4 linked regions of the Saccharomyces cerevisiae S288C genome follow. The gene in region 2 interacts genetically with the main gene of each other region. Each region holds a gene or a part of one and is shown on either strand. Other genes may lie near its edges. The genes, in order: IES1, HDA1, TCP1 and ARC18.

Region 1 (5,367 bases), on a different chromosome or scaffold from region 2:
GCCGAAAATGGAAAAAAAGGGTCGGTGATGTGTGGGTGCCAGCTGGCGGTAGCAATGACGACGTGTTGACGGGCCCTTGGCTCTTGGGACAAGGACTAGAAGCCAAAAGCCAGAGGCGGTAAAAATAGCAAGACTAGAATATTGCTGGCATCTGTTAAGGGGATATGTTGCAACTTGCAGGGGGCGGCACAAAATAACATAGAAACGTAGTAAAGAGGGGAAAAGGAAAAGGAAAAGGAAAAGGAAGGAAAAAAACCCATTGACGTAGAAATTGAAAGAAGGAAAGGTATACGCAAGCATTAATACAACCCACAAACACAGACCAGAAGCACTCTAGACGGAGAGTAACTAGATCTACAGCCCCTGGAAAATCGTTTGGTCAACTTTGAGGTTCCGGTCGTCCCCCTCTTGATCTGAAAGGTCTTTCTCTAAATCTATATTAAAACGTATAAATAGGACGGTGAATTGCGTTCTACTTCCTCAATTGCGTTTGATCTTATTTAATCTCTCTCTAATATATAGAAAAAAAAACCATCTGATTATTCGATAATCTCAAACAAACAACTCAAAACAAAAAAAACTAAATACAACAATGTCTGACGCAGGTAGAAAAGGATTCGGTGAAAAAGCTTCTGAAGCTTTGAAGCCAGACTCTCAAAAGTCATACGCTGAACAAGGTAAGGAATACATCACTGACAAGGCCGACAAGGTCGCTGGTAAGGTTCAACCAGAAGACAACAAGGGTGTCTTCCAAGGTGTCCACGACTCTGCCGAAAAAGGCAAGGATAACGCTGAAGGTCAAGGTGAATCTTTGGCAGACCAAGCTAGAGATTACATGGGAGCCGCCAAGTCCAAGTTGAACGATGCCGTCGAATATGTTTCCGGTCGTGTCCACGGTGAAGAAGACCCAACCAAGAAGTAAATCTTTCGGAACTCTTTGTAGTTACATGGTTTTTTCTTTATGATGTGTGATGTTCCTTAATATTATATTCAATGAATAGCAGAGTAATAAAAAAATTCTAAAAAAAAAACGCTTAAATCGAGGTGGAATATATAAACTTAAGTACGCATATACTCTAGTTCAGTTTAAAAATTAGCTGTTTTTTTAAAAAAAAAAATTCTCTTTCTTTACAAAATGTTCTTAAATGTATGTATGTGTGTGTGTGTGTGTGTGCGTATTGTTCTATTTCACTCCAGCTTAAACATGGCGGTTGCTTCTTCGTCATCAATTTCCGCGCGTTCGATTTTATTTAAAAGTACTTTCTTTGAAGCGCCGAGATTTTTCATGAAATCCGTCTCAAATCCAAGCAAATTATCTTTGAATTTCTTTCTCTTTTTACCGCGAATCCCAAGCACTGACGCTACGGGGATGTCTTCAAATTCATTGAATATCTTGATTAACCCAATATCGCGTCTTTTCAACCTGTTTGGCACCTGGGATTTTTTCAAATCGGCGAGAAACTCCTCTTGTGTCTTACCATTTTCTGACACATGCTTGTTCAGATCTAGCGATATTAGCTTGTCGACCTTGTTTACCGTAGCCGAACTATTGTATTTTTTCAATGGTGTTAGATTTAAATCGTTTTTGTCAATGATAGCAGCGGAGGTGATTTCTTCTTCTGTTTCTGTTGGTGCTGCTGGCGTTACTTTGGGCAGTTGTGGTGTGACTTTTTTCCTGTTCAATGTCATGGGTGAAGAAGATTCCAGTATGGGCGTAGGCGTCAAAAGTGATCTAGTCTCCTCTACAGTCTCCTCGCTCTTGTCATCTTCCCCTTCACCGTCCTCTTCACTCTTGTCACCACCGATACTGGGCTTTTTCACCTCTGTAACATTGGTACGCTCGCGCTTCCTACCCTCCTCCATCTTACTCATGAATTCTCTTCTCTTGATGCGTTGGTTGGCTCCGAACTCTAATTCATCTTCAGGATCCGTGTCGTAACTGCGTTCCGTACACCTTAAAATGAACTTTCCAGCAGGTGCACCATCTTCCAATCCATTGAAAAATCTTACTGATTCTTCGACCTCCTCCTGGCTTAAGTTTGTCTCCAAATGAATATATAGCAGCCAAATCAATATGTTTGATCTATCCTTTGGCTCGTATTTCGAATAGTCCAGTATATCAAATAATGTTGTTGCATAAGCTGCTTTTGATTCTTGTTTTTCATTTTCCGCTTCCGTTTCTTTTACTTCATTCTGTTCATCTACCATATCTTGCTCCTGAGCTTTCGATTCGACTTCCACATACTTGGAAAGAAACCTCTTGTCAATTAGGCCGGAATTATCACATATGCTAAACAACATATTAATAATGTTAAATTTGTTAACGGTGTCCACTTCACCATCATTTTGGTCGACCTTTTTGTAAGTCTCCATCAATGAGAGTTGCTCATTGCCCCACGGCAGATTTTTCAGAATAGATTTCAGTCTAGGTGTATCCTGCAAAAGTTTCGGATCATTGGCATGTAATTGTAAAACTGGCACGGAGTGAAAAGTTCTCAATTGCGATGTCATTTCTAAATAAAAATTTATAGTGGTGTTCAACCTACCAATGTTGACCAATAACGCTAAAACACAAGTAGAAAATGCTACTTGTTGGTCTAATAATAGTTTATCTCTGAGAATTTTGGAACATTTGATAGAAGTGGCTATTGTCAACACATACAATTGTGCGAACGTCAATTTATCGTTAAATACAAATGTCCTTGCATCGTACTCTTTGTCGGTCACGTTGATTGATAATTTATCGCCATCGATATTAATGGGTACAATAGAGTTCTTGTATAGGGGTTTTAGAACATTAGTGAAGATTTGCCTCTTGTCCATCAACAGTTCTTGCATGAAACTGAACTGAATGTCCTTTCTATTGAATGGCTCGCCGTCAGGTTTCTTCAAATGACGATTGTATTTACTGGCATTGCTTTCTTTGGGTTTCCTTCTAACAGTGTTAGTTGTCACTGGCCCCGTTGCCGTACTTGCTCCTGTTGCTTCAGGCACTGTAGAAGGTTCGAAGTTGAGCAAGATGTTGGTATTTTCTTCTTCACTTTGCGTGGAGTCATCATCATTTTTATCGTCGATTTCAATCTCGTGTATAACTGGAATGCTTTTTGTAGTCACAGTCTCGGTCTCTGATTGAATGGAGCTTGGGGATGCTTCTTCTTGTGATCCCGATTTTACAGATTGCATTGGAGAATCTGCTTTTGTTTCGTCAGAATTGTCTTCTCGTAGTTGGAAAGTATCATGAATTGGATCGTATACTCTCTTCCCCATCTTTAATTAGAGTGTCGCCTTTATTTAGCTTTCGATTTTACTTAGTTAATCATGAACTGTTTCCAATACCATATCAGCATTCATTGGGCGTTCTTTACTTACTTGTACCGTTACCGCATTCGAGGGTAACCTGTTTTTCGTTGTACACGATATGCTACAGAATTGTCTTAATATGGGCTAAGAAAAAAAAAAGTCTGATTATTTCTGATACTGCAAAATATATACTGGCTTGGTTAAGAAAAGTGTTGCTTTAGTTCCTTTACATCAAGAGTCGTTAAATTGTTTTGTGTCATAACAGTAGTGGTCTTTTGAGACATCAATCGACTCTCAGGTTTTCCTTCTGTTCATCTTCTTGTTTTCGGTAAAGGTCAGCCAGCATATTTCAATTCTCTCTTTTTTGAAATAACATTATGTAATCTTTCAATCCTTTCTATCCAACGTCTGCTAAATAATTTATTCAAATGACATGTAGACCAGAAAATCGAACGTTGGATAATTTTTCATCCTGAATCATGTTGGTCTCAACTAGAGCAATTTTTTCACGTCCTCTGACACAAAACTCGATAAACTGTCGCATCAGTTTAAAAAAATATGTACGTGTATAATAACTGAATTTAAAAGGATAGTAAATAATTTTTGCATTTTATGGAATGTCAAAATACTAATAAGTCGCAAATATAGCTATCAAATACCATAATTTAGCTACTTATAGAAAGATGCCCAAATCCCGACCAAAAAGGACCATTGCGTCTTCCTCGTCAGTTTTTTATGGAAGTTCACCTTTCCAAAATGATGGCTACATCAAAGTAATGGAACTCGTATCACACATTGTCATTGAAATAAATCATTCACCTACCGCAACAACGGATGAAACGAGAAAGCAGAATAATCCGGAGCTGAAAGTGAAAGAACCAGTTTGTAACCTCAAGAAGTGGGAAAATAACACTAACTTTATATTGGAAGATCATACGAAGAATAAAACAAAACTTTCTAGCACAGATAGGATACGTAAGTGGTTTAGAAGACATATATTAAAGGAAGAGATCGAAATCCTTTCCCATGGAAAACAATTGAGTAGTATTGATGAGGATTATTGCCCTTCAAATGTTCTTGTAGGATGTTCAAGAGATCTAAATAAACTCAGATCATTTCAAAATTTTTAGGAATATAAAATTTCTCAGTAAGAAAAAGAAGATGAATGCGTTTATAGTATTTTAAGTTGTTCAATAGAATATCTTCAATATGTTCATATGTGGACTAAAAGAAGATTTTGGTATATGTCTATAAATTTATTGTTGGTAAACGCCATTAAGCAGCTTTCCAAGAATATGTTATCATTGAGGAGAAGTACGAAAACTGATTATGCACGATTAGGAAAAATTCTGCAAGGAGTATTAAAAAATGGCCTTCGAGAAGAAATGAAATCTCTTTCGATGAGCAATGGTCTTATGGATAATTTGATAGACATATGAAAAAGTCAAAAGTTTTTTTGGCCATATGCAGTAAAAACTTACCCTTCAAATTGCAAAACCATTAGTTTTATTATATTTTTTTTTTTTTCTTTCATTGAAGTATACACGAAATCCCATACGCAAATAAACAGTCGTTGTATCATCAATTTCGGCTGTCTGGATGGCGACTACGAGAGGAAGCTTGCTTGCCATGATAGGACCAATCTCAATTTTTAATTTTTCATTAACTAGCTAATTTTCTATAATGCTCTAAGTTTCCTTTTTCGTTTTGTTTCTTTATAGTGATGATGCTGTTATTGTGACGCTATCAAATCATATACTGTCATCAATCCTCATCTCATCGGCTCCGGAACGCGTTGAATATGTTGTTAAACAAGCTCTTTATAGCTAGCTATAGTAGAAAAGGAAGGAAAGAAGTCTAATCGCTGTATTATCGACTGACAAGGGTTGTCAGTTGCCTTCTTTTATTTTTTGTACTCCCCTGAATCGAGCGGATGTATTTTTTAACAAAGTATTCAGAATTGTTTTTGTATAATCAAAATTTGTCGACGCTAAGAAAATGACGGACGTCGTAATTCCGCTACTAGGTTTTGTGTGCTCATCGATATTTGACACCTATTTTCGACAC
Region 2 (5,148 bases):
CAACACAAAATATTCTAAGCTTGAACTCTCCCACAACCATGGAAAATACGATGCCGAACGCTACATTTCAAATCAGCATGGCTGATAATACTACAACAGCACAAATGCATCCTAATAGAAAACCATCACAAATAGCATATGACGCTAGCTTCAGTAATTCCGCCAAAGGTTCTCAACCACTTTTTGACAAATCACAGAATATGTACCACGCATTGGATCCTCCACTTGTTGAACCGCTAGCGAGTAGTGTTTCAAATAATGACAACGAACTCAAGGCAAATTCCGCAACCAAGTTAAAGCAGGCAATTGTCTCTGAAGCACATACTTTTAGGCAGAATAATTCAATAGACTTTCCACTACAAAACATAATACCCCAGTACGAAGATTCTTCTTCCTCTTCAGATGAATCTTATTCTGGAGACGTAGATGAATTAAAGAAAACTCGATCTCTAGGTTCTTATTCCACACGCGGTAACATAAAAAAAAACCAATCCGTAAAGGAATCTCTTACTTCATCAAGCCTACCAGGCACTAGCTTCACCCCAACGTCTACAAAGGTAAATTTGAAACACGAAAATTCACCTTTTAAGTCGACATTCGTTAATACGATTGATAATTCCAAAGACGATCTTAACAAACCATCTTATGAAGATTTGGACGTATCTAAGCAGAATTTGAAGAACTCCATTCAACAGCGTATGATCGATAAACTCAACTCTTCTGAGGAGTCATTCAACGCTAGGAAAATGTCCAAGGTCAAGCTGCATGAGAAAGGGGAGATAGATAAGCCAACAATGCTGAAATCAAGTGGCCCGATTTCAAAAGACAAAAAAACAAAACCTACCCCACCACCTAAGCCTTCACATTTAAAGCCTAAACCTCCTCCAAAACCACTGCTCCTCGCGGGACGAAAGTTATCCTTGGATAAGTGAGTATTTGGCTCAACAGAACCGGATCGATCTCTGAAGAGGCTGGTAACATGTTCAAAGAACCTTTATTACAATGTGTTATATATGTAAGCATCCACTTTAATGTATACGTTTTCCCATAATACTTAGTAAAACACAGCTTAATGCATTTGTTCATTTCTTTTTCCTATTTTAGATATATTGGATTATACAATGAACATTGTAACAACTTTATTATTATTCAACTTTCATAAGGCATGAAGGTTGCCGAAAAAAAATTATTAATGGCCAGTTTTTCCTCATTCTTCATCACTCCATTCTTCAAACGAATCCAGTATAAAGTCTGTAGCCTCTTCAAATCTTTCTTCAATTATATTGTTTAACCCGTCCGTATCACATCTCAAAACTCTACCGAATTTTTTTCTTGGTTTTCTGCTTTCATTTTCTTTCCAGCATTGGTGGCTATTGTTTGAAAATATAAGTGAGTTTTTGAAGTACCATTCACTCAATGTTTCATCTACTAGAGGAACTAGTGGCTTTAACTGCTTGTCTCCCAAGAAATTAATTACCGTTTTAGTAACAGCCCTAGTATCCCTGTGACCAAGCAGATGTACGATACCTGAGTATGAGTCTCCTATTCCAATAAAAGCAATTTTGGCAACAGAAGGAAAATACTTGATGTAGTTATCCCATAAATATATTAGAACTTCTTGGGATGTAATCATTCCTGAGTAATTGTCAGGTTCAAACAGAGTTAGAGGTATATTTACATCAATGATGCCGTATTTCCTGTCAAGTCCCCATTTGATAAAGTCTAGAGAATTATCAATGATAACTGATGAGGATAAGTCAATTGTACCTGAAATAACATTTCTCTTTGCCCAGATATCAGAAGTATCATGAACGACTATAATTATAGTGTTAGATTCGGAAATGTTTGGAGTACATAGCACTGTATTATCTGGTAAATCCATGCTTACTAACGGTAAAGTAACGAAATTAAATTCGTCGCTTAAATAGTGTTGCTGTTGTTGACGAATAGCCTTCTGCAGAGGAAAATTTTTAGATATTATCGAGTCGTTAATAGGTTCGTTAAAATTACAACCGGAGTTAGCATGTCTCCTTCTAAAACAGTTCCAATACTTGGACTGTAACCGAATTACTTTGTCTATCATTTCTATGACCTCAGGCTTGGGATCACTTAATGGATCAGGTAGTTCATCAGGAGGCTCCCCTATTAGTACTTTTGCTACACTCAAAGCGCTTCTTGCAATCGCATCCAAGTTATATCCACCTTCCAAAACTACACAAAGATTACCTCTAGCTAGAGATTTTAACATATGTGTCATGTGTCCATAACAACTTGGGGTGACATGACATTGTCCGATAGTATCACCATCCGCGGCATCAAACCCTGAAGAAATAATCACCAAGTCAGGCTTGAATTCTCTCCCCATAGGCATAACTACCTGTTCAAATGCCCACATATATTCTGCATCACCAACACCGCCGACCGGCCAAGTAATATTACAATTGAATCCTTCACCCTTACCCTCACCAGTTTGATCATATTGTCCTTGGATGGTCCCAGGATAGTATTTACCCATTTCAAATCTGTGTAATGACACATATAGCACCTGATCGTCTTGATAGAATGACTTTTGTGTGCCATTACCATGATGAATATCCCAATCTAAAATCATTATCCTTCTTACACTTTCTGGGTAGTTCTTTAAGATATTCTTGGCAGCAACAGCAACATTACTGAAGAGACAAAAACCACCCGCAGCTTGAGGCTCTGCATGATGGCCAGGTGGTCTTACGACAGCTAGAGAGTTTTTTACACGCCCCTCGACAACCGCCTTGCATGCTTCAATGGCGCCACCACAAGGCAGCCTAGCACTCGCGTAAGAATCATTATTGAAATATACGGAATCACCTTTTTCAGTCTCTTTTAATAACTCTTCTCGGCTCATTTTTTCTGTGCTTTCAATAAACTCTAAATGTTCCTTTGTATGAACTTCCAAGATTTCTTCGGAGGTTGCGGCTCTTACAGGTATCTTCAGCATTAAATCACCAAGGTCATCCACGCCGCTTAAAGTGGGGTCGTTAATCAGACCATTCTCTGCTAGTATTTTATAAATACGATATATTCTTCTTGGGTCCTCTGGATGTGGATCAATGTACTCGAAGTACGATGTGAAAATCTTTGCATGATACCTCATTCTAACGTCATAGCAAAGACCAGTTTTCAGCGGTGAATAATGGATTTTTGGCATGCAAACGGGAACAATAACCTGCCTTTTACTTTTAGAAGTAGTAGAGAGGCTATTCTCTTCTTCTTTGTTCTCTTCTAGCTTTCTTTTTAAATCATGGTCTGGATTTTCCAGTACTTCTTTCTTAACCATTACAGAATCCATGCTTAATCTGTTCGGCGTATTACAGTGCTCAACTTTCCCTTTCTCAATATTTTGTTATGTGAATTAGGTCACTAAAAATTAAAACATTTAAGAAAAATAAAAGTTCCTTCCACAGACGAAACACTGTATATGCTTCCTCCCAGCTCTATTTACCTAATTAGTGACCTGATTAAACTTTTGGAAAGAAGCATTTTCCTCGAGATTTCCAAACGGTGCGGGAAAATGGCAAGTGAGGAAAAAAAAAACTGGCCTAAAATATTCGATGAGGTTAAGAGAAGAGCTGGTTCTTCACCAAGTGTTTCACTGAGAAGTTAGCTACGAAAAAGCATGAATTTCTACAGGGATGCAACATGGGTGCTAGAAGATATTGAGAAGGAGGCTGCAAAAGAAAGGATTTCCGGCTCTATGCAGACGCTGGTACTGAAAAGCTGTAAAAGATATAAGCTGAAAAGTAATCCAAAACATATTTATGCAGTTCTCGATTCGTGTTGGAAATATAAACCATATTTGGAGAAAGTGATGAAAAAGGCACACATATTGGAAGATATACCCAAGAAAAAGGGCAAACCACTCTTTTCAAGGCTAACTTTGTTATTGCTTTGCCATGATTTGCTGTTGTCTAAGCAGAAAAGAATTCAAATGGGCAAACACCCCATCAAAGATTATGTTTTGAAGTTTAAGAGCCCATTGCATAGCGAAATGGTCAAATTGAAACTCAAATTGAAAGTAAGAGAGCTATCTGAGTTGGTATTAAGCGAGGATATTTCCAATGACCTTCCTCCTGTTAGATGGATTAGAATCAATCCATTAAAATGCCATCCAAATGGTGAGACTGAGCCGGTGTTAGCCGAATTGAGGAAGAAGTTTACTTTAAAGGTAGACAAATGGTCTGAACTAGTTCCTGGGTCTATCTATTATGATGAGTTTATTCCAAACTTGTTTGGAATTCATCCGTCTGACAAAATTACAGCACATGAGCTTTATAAGCATGGGAAGATTATCATTCAAGATCGTGCTTCTTGTTTTCCAGCCCACATTTTGAATCCAGGACCAAGTGATATTGTGATAGATTCCTGCTCTGCTCCAGGTAATAAGACTACCCATACGGCCTCTTATATATATCCCGAACCACCGAAGGACAATAATACTCGAATATACGCTTTCGAGAAGGATCCTGAAAGAGCAAAAGTTTTACAAAAAATGATCAAGATAGCTGGCTGTTCTCCCAACATCAGTGTCAATGTAGGTGATTTTACAAAGCTCGCTACTCCTGAAAAATATAAGGACGTTACTTGTTTTATTGTAGATCCGAGCTGCTCCGGTAGCGGTATATTTGGTCGTAAGTTTTTTGACTCATTTAATAGAAGGAAAATTGATGATAAAGATGACGATGGTGGCATTGTGCCGGATGAGCAAGAGGAGTTTATAGCAAAGGAAGAACTACAGACAAGGTTAGCGAAGCTGAGTTCATTTCAGTTCCAGATGGTAAAGCATGCAATGAGTTTCCCAGCGGCTAAAAAAATAGTATACAGCACATGTTCCATTCATGCGGAAGAAAATGAACGAGTCGTCATAGACCTTCTTTTAGATAAGTCAGTTAGAGAATGGGGTTGGAAAGTAGCGCCAAAAAGAGAAGTTATTCCTTCTTGGCCTAGAAGAGGCAAGGTAGAAGAGTTCGAAGAGGTTTTTAGAGATGGAGTCACCTATGACCCTCAACAGCTTGCCGAGGGTTGTATCAGGGCACTACCAAAAAGTGACGGTGGTATTGGTTTCTTTGCTGTCTGTTTTGAAAGAGATTAAACTTTCAGAACATTCATGTA
Region 3 (4,678 bases), on a different chromosome or scaffold from region 2:
TGGATAAATGAGAAAAGATAGTTCCTACAACTTCAAAAAGTTAATGTATGTAAAAAATCGCTGTTTAGAGGAACAGTCAGCACTATCGCACCCTGAAAGCAATATCAATCTTTGACAAAAGAAGTGTCTACTTTCTATGCCGCGACTTTCCAAGTAACTTGTATTTGCTGATCCTGCCAGGGCGGCGCATATATAGATTTCGACAAGCACATTCACTGAAGACAATAGAATAATATTCGTTGGGCGAAAATTTGACGCGATCCCGCTAAGGTGCGCTCGTTTAGAGAAAAAAATAGCTTGGAAAAAACCTTATTTAGCTGCCACATTTAGACAGAATAACACAGCCACTATGGGAGATATTCACCCTGGGGATCATGTTTAGAAACAGGCTTAGCAGTAAGCGCAATTGAATTCATGGAATACACTCCGCATTCTTTTTTATTGCCGCCTTACTAAAATGTAACGCTAGCGTTAAGCTTTTTTCCTTTAACAGGGTTCCTGCTCGTTTACGAACAAACACAATAGTTTGTAGGGACCCGCTTCTGCATTTGGACAAGAAAAACAACTCAACGAAGTCCTAATAGGTACGCGTTATTACGTATTAGTCCACCTCGCACGTGAAAAGCTGGGAAGCGCTTATCAACTGCCCAGAGTTAGCGATCAAATTCAAAAATAGAACTAGCTGAAAAAAATATAATTAAATTTTATATAGGTTTATTAGTTTACATGCAGATACAGAATCTCGTTCGGATTACGCAAAGAATCAATGATCGTGCGGATCTTCTTTGGGTGGTTCTGGATCCACTGTAATCATTGTATCAATTCTTAGAATTGCTACACAAGCCTCCAATGCTGATTTCAAGGATTTGACTTTGCTTATGGTTGGCTCAAGAACACCAGCGTGAATCTCGTCCACAATTTTACCTCTAATCAAATCTAGGCCGTAATTTCTGTAGCTTCTCCTCTTAACGTCCTCTGGCTTGGCCATTTGACTAGCGGCATGGTAGGACCTTAATTTTGCAACTAATTCACTAGAATCCTTGGCAGCGTTAACAGCTAAAGTTTTTGGAATGATTAATAATGCAGCTGCAAACTCAGCAATAGCTAACTGTTCACGAGAACCAACTGTGGTGGCAAAATTGTCCAAATAGATATTCAATGCGGCTTCAACGCAACCTCCACCGGGGACAACATTTCCACTTTCAAGCGTTCTTTTGACAACAGAAAGAGAATCGTGCAAAGAACGTTCCATCTCATCTAAAGAATAATCGTTGGCACCTCTTAAAATGATCGAAGAAGATGAATGTTTAGAAGTACCCTTAATTAAGATACACTCATCATCAGAAAATTTGGCTTGAACTACTTCATCACAAAGACCTAAATAACTGCTTTCGAAAGTTTCCTCACCTTCTAAGTTAGACATAGAACTAACCAAAGTGGCGCCTGTAGCGCGTGCAATTCTTCTCAAATCTTCCTTCTTACAGCGTCTTACACCCATTATCTTAGCTTCAACGAACTCCTTTAAGCATAAATCATCAATACCTTTGGTGGTTAACACAACTTGAGCACCAGCATCAATGATCTTCTTCACTCTTTCCAAAACAATACCAGCTTCACGTTTACGGATTTGCTCCAATTGTTCCGGATCATCAATGTTGATTTGAACACCCATTGCCATACGAGCTTTCTGCAAGTTCAAATCCAAACATGCGATTTTCACATTGCCACCGGCGATACGTTTAGGCATTGCTTGAGAAGCAACTGTACAATTCAAAGCATAACCTGGCACCAACAGTGATTCAGTGGCAGATTTACCATGAGCTTTCAACACATTGACAGCCTTTACGGGATACTTGATTTCTCCTTTGGAATTTTGCGTCTTAACAGCCAAAAGAGCATCTACAACCATATTGCTGAAAAAATCAGAGTCAGCACCAATGATCTTAGAGGACATACTAGTCTTGGCTATATTAATTAACGTCTCTTTCCCTAAAGTGTCAACACTTGTGGAAAGAACTTCATTTATAAAACGAATAGCCTCTCTTAATGCAACCCTGAAACCAGTTATGATGGTAGTTGGATGAATCTTATTTTTGACTAATTCATTAGCTCTTTTCAACAACTCAGAAGCAATAATAACAACACTAGTAGTACCGTCACCAATTTCTCTGTCCTGTTGTTGAGCCAATTCTACTAAAATTTTTCCAGCTGGATGTTGAACATCTAACAAAGACAAAATAGTGGCACCATCGTTGGTGACGGTAAAATCACCAATGTCATCAACAAGCATTTTGTCCAGTCCAACGGGGCCTAAAGATGACTTGACGACGTTAGCCACAGCCATAGTAGCCAAAACATTCTGATTACGAATATCATCACCACTTATTTTTTCACCTCCTAGGAAAAGGGTATCTGAGCGCGAGTTATTGAATAATTGGGACATCGCTAAGTTATTACAAATATAAAAGTCTTCTGTCTATTGTTATTGTCCCTTTCTTGTACTCTCTCAGTGGCCTCTCTTTTGCTTAAGTTATTTACTCTTCATGTGATACCACCGCATTTCAATTTTTTTTTTTTTCAGTTCTTTGCCACTTAGGACAAGGTCCCTCGGCAAGTGAAAAAAAAAAATCTGAGATTATTATTTCAGTAGTACTACTGAGGATAAAAACTAATATGATAAAAAATATATATATATTTGCTTTTTGCTTCTGTAACATGTAAATTACTAAATCTATATAGCGCTCACCTTTTTCTCATATTAAAGCCTTTTTATGGTAATACATGATTATGCAGGGTACTGCGTGGACTTTTATTCCTCTTCTGAGGAAGATTCTTCGTCAGCATTCTGTAACCACTCAACCCACTTTACAGTTAATTTCTTGACTTCATCATAGCGAGGGTCAGTAGAAACATTATCCCACCATTTATAAATGACATCCTCCTCAATTATGTCATTATCGTATAGAGAAACCAATGCACTAAATAGAATCAAATCCGGTTTGTCAAAACTCTGTTCTACAATTTTTTCCATTATGATGTTCATCAAATCAATATACTCTTCTTCATCAAAGGCTTGTCTCTTGAACAACAGTCCCCACTGATTAAAAACCTTCACCACAGCGTCCTTGGGACCTAATGTTTGAGTTGCAATAAAGTGGTAAACTCTTCTCAATAATGCAGTTATTGTTGCTATTCTCACCTCATGATATGTCACGTTCATACTCATTCTCAAGGTGTTCAATTCTAATAATGCTGTGTCAAGATCATGATTGTTTTCCATAGCACGCTCCACGGTGGCAATACCTTCTTTCTCAAAATCTTCGTCCTCAAATTCAGAATCAATTTCTTCTCTATCCGTGTATATACTATTGACAGACATCGTTCTTCTTTTCTTTGTCTTTTTAGTGGCGGAAGAAATTGAATCGTCACTTAAGTATAACTCATCTAATTGGTTACTCAAAGTGTTTATTTCTTTGCAGGCTTCTGTAGAACTATCTTCATCGTCAGACACCTCGCTTTCGTAAATATAACCAACACCCTTATCTCCAACAATAGAAACGGCTAGTGTCTGATCATCAAGGTCTTGGTCAAACTGCTCATTGCTTTCATTATCATACATTCTTGAGCCGGCATTTTTTAATGGACTGGCAGATATTTTTGTGTTTCTATCTAAATCCATATTATCATCAATTTTAACGTTGAAACCAATTATACAGCCATCATTTAGGCGTACATTACTCCCTAACGTGGCATTAGAGGCAATTAATGAATGGTCAATTATACTGTTATTTCCGATGATACAGTCATCCCAAATGAAACTGTTCTTGATTCTAATATTTTCACCGATTTGGCAGTTCCTTCCAATCACGGAATTCTCAATTTTCGTACCCTCTCCGATTTTTGTTCCTGATCCAATTGCAGTGCACTTACCAATTTTACAGGATTGGGCCAAAACAACGTCTTTTTCCTTGTATATATGTCTTGATTCATAAGAATACGTTTGATCGTCCTGTATGTTAGAGTCTAAGACCAAGGGATAACACCATCTACCTAAAAAGTCTTGAGAAATGGTGTCGTAAGTTTGCCAACTTTCAACTCTTACAGCATATTCGTCCGTCAAATAGGCATATATATGCTTTCCCAATATATCGCTTGAAATGACACCTTTAACAAAGTCTGTCCTTAATGATTGGTAGTCAAAATTTTCTTGAAATATCAAAGGTACATGAGATGTACAAATGTCAATTCTACAATCGATGAGGTCATTCCTTATGACAAATTCATCGACATTATCCAACAATTCTGGGTCAATCTGAATGGAAGTCTTCTCTCTAGAGCTTGGTAATGGTAAATCTTGGTAATAAATACACCTACTGGTGGATTTGTCTAAGACAAATGCGGCAGGCTCAATAGTTCTTGTTTTTGGATAGGTACTCGCTTTGCTCAAACACATTGTCGAGATGTGATCTTTATCTTGCAAATGCATTTTTTTGTGAAATTCTAGCATTTTGCTGAAATCGATGTTAGTCAATACATCACCACTGACTAAAATAAAATCTCCAGTAATGATACCTCTATTATCTAGATCTCTCATAACATCACCCGTACATCTAGCTTCTGGAGACATAATGGTGGTAATTTTAAATGGAGACCAAGGCAAGTTCCACTTAGAATTCTC
Region 4 (3,852 bases), on a different chromosome or scaffold from region 2:
ATGCAAATAGGGCACAAGATAACTTGATCAGGCAAAGGTTAGAGCTTATCTCTAAGGCTGACATTATGATAAGTGATACTGAGAATTTATTTAAAAGATATGAAAAACTGATTTCTAGCGAAAAAGAGTATTCTAATATCGTAGAGGACATCAAAGCTCTGAGACAAGCTATAAAGAATTTTAAGGCTAACGAAAATGACATGTCAATTGATGTAAACGGAATAAAAAAAGCTACGGATGCGCTACAGGGTAGGGCATTAAAATTATTCCAAAGCGCAACAAAAAACCAGCAGAATCAAGGTAAATAAGTGAACAAAACACAAATAAGACTTGTATATTAACGTGTATATCGTTCATTAAAGCATATTTTGACGTATTTATACTTTATACATTTATATATTTCTTTCCCGTTTCAAATTTTCGGTTCAAATAAAGTTGCATGTGGATTATTATGTTCCCATAAATTCTAGTTTTTATTATTTTCCTTGCACCGTATACCTTTATAGAGATTTGTTCATGAATCTTCTTCTTGTGAACGCCAACCAAAACTTTGAGGGATATTCCTTAGAATCTGTAGAGCTATAGACTCTTTCTAATAGTCTCATTGCCAATTCTTGACGGAATTGCTGAATATAAGTCTTCAACAAGTCCATCGAATTATGATCTTGTACTGGAACTTGGTAAACATTATTCAGAGGGAAACCCGGTGTACCTGGTAAAGTAAAGTTGTCCAAGGCCACATTGGTTAACACTTTGACGGCTTCGTTAAATGACGTTGTTATTTTCAAATGGGCTAGGCAATCATTGATAAAGAGAATTCCGTAGATGAGCACTCTGTCGGCGGGTGATTTAATTTCAAAATTCTTGAAGAAGGAATTGGCACGAAATAGGTCCAAGCACTCGTCGATAATATCGTAATCGGAATTGCTGGGGTATGCAGGACCCCTGAACTTAGTGTTCAAGGGCAGAAGCGCAAAGTTCCCTACCATGCGGTCAGTGTTAGGATCTACAGGGAAAGTCGAGTGATACGCAGGCATTTATTAATATACTGGGAGTGGAGAGACTGATAATACCAATAATCTTCCTTTATTGATGTTTGTTACTGCGCACCAAGTGTTTAATTTATTGTTATTCATTGTTATACTAAACCAAACCGCAACGGAAAGGATAGGGGTTCGTGGTGGATGATCCGCGTAACGGCCGAGTCTGTGAAACTGAGAGAGAATGATAGTGAAAACAATGGTATGGAAGTCCGAGGTCCTAAGGCTTGAAGAAAGTTTTTAAAGGGCATTATGACCAGTGAGTACTGACGACCTAATTTAATAACAGTATTGAGCCGATTAGGTTTTCCTGGATTTTTTTTTTGCTGTTTTATAGCTATTTTTTTATTTGTTGTTTGTGGTCATTAATATATTCATTCGCTCTGTTAGTGTAATCGATTACAGTGCTCTATTACTGCTGACTTAATTGGACAATTCATCTCTTTTCCTGCGGTTATGAGCGAAACCAACGTTGACAGCTTAGGGGACAGAAATGACATATACTCCCAAATATTTGGTGTAGAAAGGAGGCCAGATTCCTTCGCTACTTTTGATAGTGACTCGCACGGAGACATAAGTTCTCAGCTGCTGCCTAATAGAATCGAAAATATCCAGAATCTAAATGTTCTGCTTTCTGAAGACATTGCTAATGACATCATTATTGCCAAGCAGAGGAGACGTTCTGGAGTTGAAGCCGCCATCGATGATTCTGATATACCAAATAACGAAATGAAGGGGAAAAGCTCAAATTACATTTTATCGCAGCAGACTAATATTAAGGAAGTTCCAGATACACAAAGTTTGTCTAGTGCTGATAATACACCTGTGAGCAGTCCAAAGAAGGCAAGAGATGCCACATCTTCCCATCCCATTGTTCATGCTAAATCGATGTCCCATATATATTCAACGAGTAATAGTGCTAGTAGACAAGCCAAGCACTATAATGACCACCCTTTGCCTCCAATGTCTCCAAGAAATGAAGTTTACCAGAAGAATAAAAGTACTACAGCTTTTGTGCCTAAGAGGAAACCTTCGCTCCCGCAACTAGCACTTGCTGGTCTTAAGAAGCAGAGCAGTTTTTCCACCGGCAGTGCATCAACCACTCCTACACAGGCTAGAAAATCGCCTTTGCAAGGGTTTGGTTTCTTTTCGAGACCAAGTTCCAAAGACTTGCACGAACAGCACCAACATCACCAGCATATTCAGCATAATAATATTAACAATCATAATAATAATAATACTAATAATAATGGCGCACATTATCAAGTGGGTAGTAGTAACAGTAATTACCCTCAACATTCACATTCTATATCATCTAGATCGATGTCGTTGAACTCATCTACTCTAAAAAATATTGCATCATCTTTTCAATCGAAGACTTCTAACAGCAGGAAAGCTACGCAAAAATATGATATAACTTCCAACCCATTCTCAGATCCTCATCATCATCATCATCATCATCACTCTTCAAACAGTCACAGTAGCCTAAATAATGTCCACGGGTCTGGAAACTCCTCAAGTGTTATGGGAAGCTCGTCTAATATTGGGTTGGGTCTTAAAACGAGAGTTTCTTCCACCTCATTAGCTTTAAAAAGATACACTTCGGTTTCAGGAACTTCTCTATCTTCTCCACGTAGAAGTAGTATGACACCTTTGTCGGCATCTAGACCTGTTATGAGCGCTTCATCAAAAAAACCTCAGGTATATCCAGCTTTGTTGTCAAGAGTCGCCACAAAATTTAAAAGTTCGATACAACTCGGGGAACATAAGAAGGATGGATTAGTTTACCGTGACGCATTTACAGGGCAGCAGGCAGTCGATGTCATCTGTGCTATCATTAGAACTTCTGATAGAAACTTAGCCTTGTTATTTGGTAGATCACTAGATGCACAAAAGCTGTTCCATGATGTGGTATACGAGCACAGGTTAAGAGATTCACCACATGAAGTTTACGAATTTACAGATAACTCAAGATTTACAGGAACAGGTTCCACAAACGCCCATGATCCACTGATGCTACTCCCAAACTCATCATCTTTTAATTCCGGGAACCACTCTTATCCGAATTCCGGAATGGTTCCATCAAGTTCAACTTCATCTTTGAATAGTGATCAGGCAACTTTGACAGGGTCGAGGCTACATATGAGTAGTTCATTGTCCCAGCAAAAGAACCCTGCAGCCATTCATAACGTCAATGGTGTGTTTACATTACTGGCGGAATGCTATTCCCCTACGTGCACAAGAGACGCTTTGTGTTACTCTATTTCGTGTCCAAGACGTCTTGAGCAACAAGCAAGGTTAAATCTGAAACCAAATGGCGGCCTGAAACGTAATATATCAATGGCATTGGATGATGATGACGAAGAAAAGCCATCTTGGACAAGTTCCGTATCTAAAGAGGATTGGGAAAACTTACCAAAAAAGGAAATAAAAAGACAAGAGGCTATTTATGAAGTTTATATCACGGAGAAGAACTTTGTAAAATCATTAGAAATTACAAGAGACACATTCATGAAGACTTTGGCTGAAACAAATATTATTTCAGCAGATATTAGAAAAAATTTCATCAAGCATGTTTTTGCACATATAAACGATATCTATTCAGTGAATAGACGTTTTTTGAAGGCTTTAACTGATAGGCAAAGAAGTTCACCAGTTGTGAGAGGAATTGGGGACATTGTTTTAAGATTCATTCCATTTTTTGAACCATTTGTTTCATATGTCGCTTCAAGACCATATGCGAAGTACTTGATTGAAACCCAAAGATCAGTCAATCCCTATTTTGCTAGATTTGATGACGATATGATGAGCT

What was found.
Region 1: mutations in HDA1 (region 2) and IES1 together harm fitness more than expected from each alone (negative genetic interaction), as found in Saccharomyces cerevisiae (3 studies listed by BioGRID).
Region 3: mutations in HDA1 (region 2) and TCP1 together harm fitness more than expected from each alone (negative genetic interaction), as found in Saccharomyces cerevisiae (3 studies listed by BioGRID, with this or other methods).
Region 4: mutations in HDA1 (region 2) and ARC18 together harm fitness more than expected from each alone (negative genetic interaction), as found in Saccharomyces cerevisiae (3 studies listed by BioGRID, with this or other methods).

What each region holds. Positions count from the first base shown.
Region 1 is NC_001138.5:106,664-112,030, forward strand, and holds IES1 (Ies1p), read right to left. Parts: upstream 3,268-5,367; coding exon 1,189-3,267; downstream 1-1,188. Other genes in the region: YFL015C (uncharacterized protein), read right to left, coding at 1-300; lipid-binding protein HSP12, read left to right, coding at 593-922; YFL012W (uncharacterized protein), read left to right, coding at 3,984-4,430. UniProt on the Saccharomyces cerevisiae protein: Probably involved in transcription regulation via its interaction with the INO80 complex, a chromatin-remodeling complex.
Region 2 is NC_001146.8:591,407-596,554, reverse strand, and holds HDA1 (histone deacetylase HDA1), read right to left. Parts: upstream 3,329-5,148; coding exon 1,208-3,328; downstream 1-1,207. Other genes in the region: serine/threonine protein kinase ARK1, read left to right, coding at 1-932; rRNA (cytosine-C5-)-methyltransferase RCM1, read left to right, coding at 3,656-5,128. UniProt on the Saccharomyces cerevisiae protein: Responsible for the deacetylation of lysine residues on the N-terminal part of the core histones (H2A, H2B, H3 and H4).
Region 3 is NC_001136.10:884,997-889,674, reverse strand, and holds TCP1 (chaperonin-containing T-complex alpha subunit TCP1), read right to left. Parts: upstream 2,444-4,678; coding exon 764-2,443; downstream 1-763. Other genes in the region: GCD6 (translation initiation factor eIF2B catalytic subunit epsilon), read right to left, coding at 2,810-4,678. UniProt on the Saccharomyces cerevisiae protein: Molecular chaperone; assists the folding of proteins upon ATP hydrolysis. Known to play a role, in vitro, in the folding of actin and tubulin. In yeast may play a role in mitotic spindle formation.
Region 4 is NC_001144.5:861,218-865,069, forward strand, and holds ARC18 (Arc18p), read right to left. Parts: upstream 1,038-3,852; coding exon 501-1,037; downstream 1-500. Other genes in the region: Hsp70 family ATPase SSQ1, read left to right, coding at 1-308; Rho family guanine nucleotide exchange factor ROM2, read left to right, coding at 1,497-3,852. UniProt on the Saccharomyces cerevisiae protein: Functions as a component of the Arp2/3 complex which is involved in regulation of actin polymerization and together with an activating nucleation-promoting factor (NPF) mediates the formation of branched actin networks.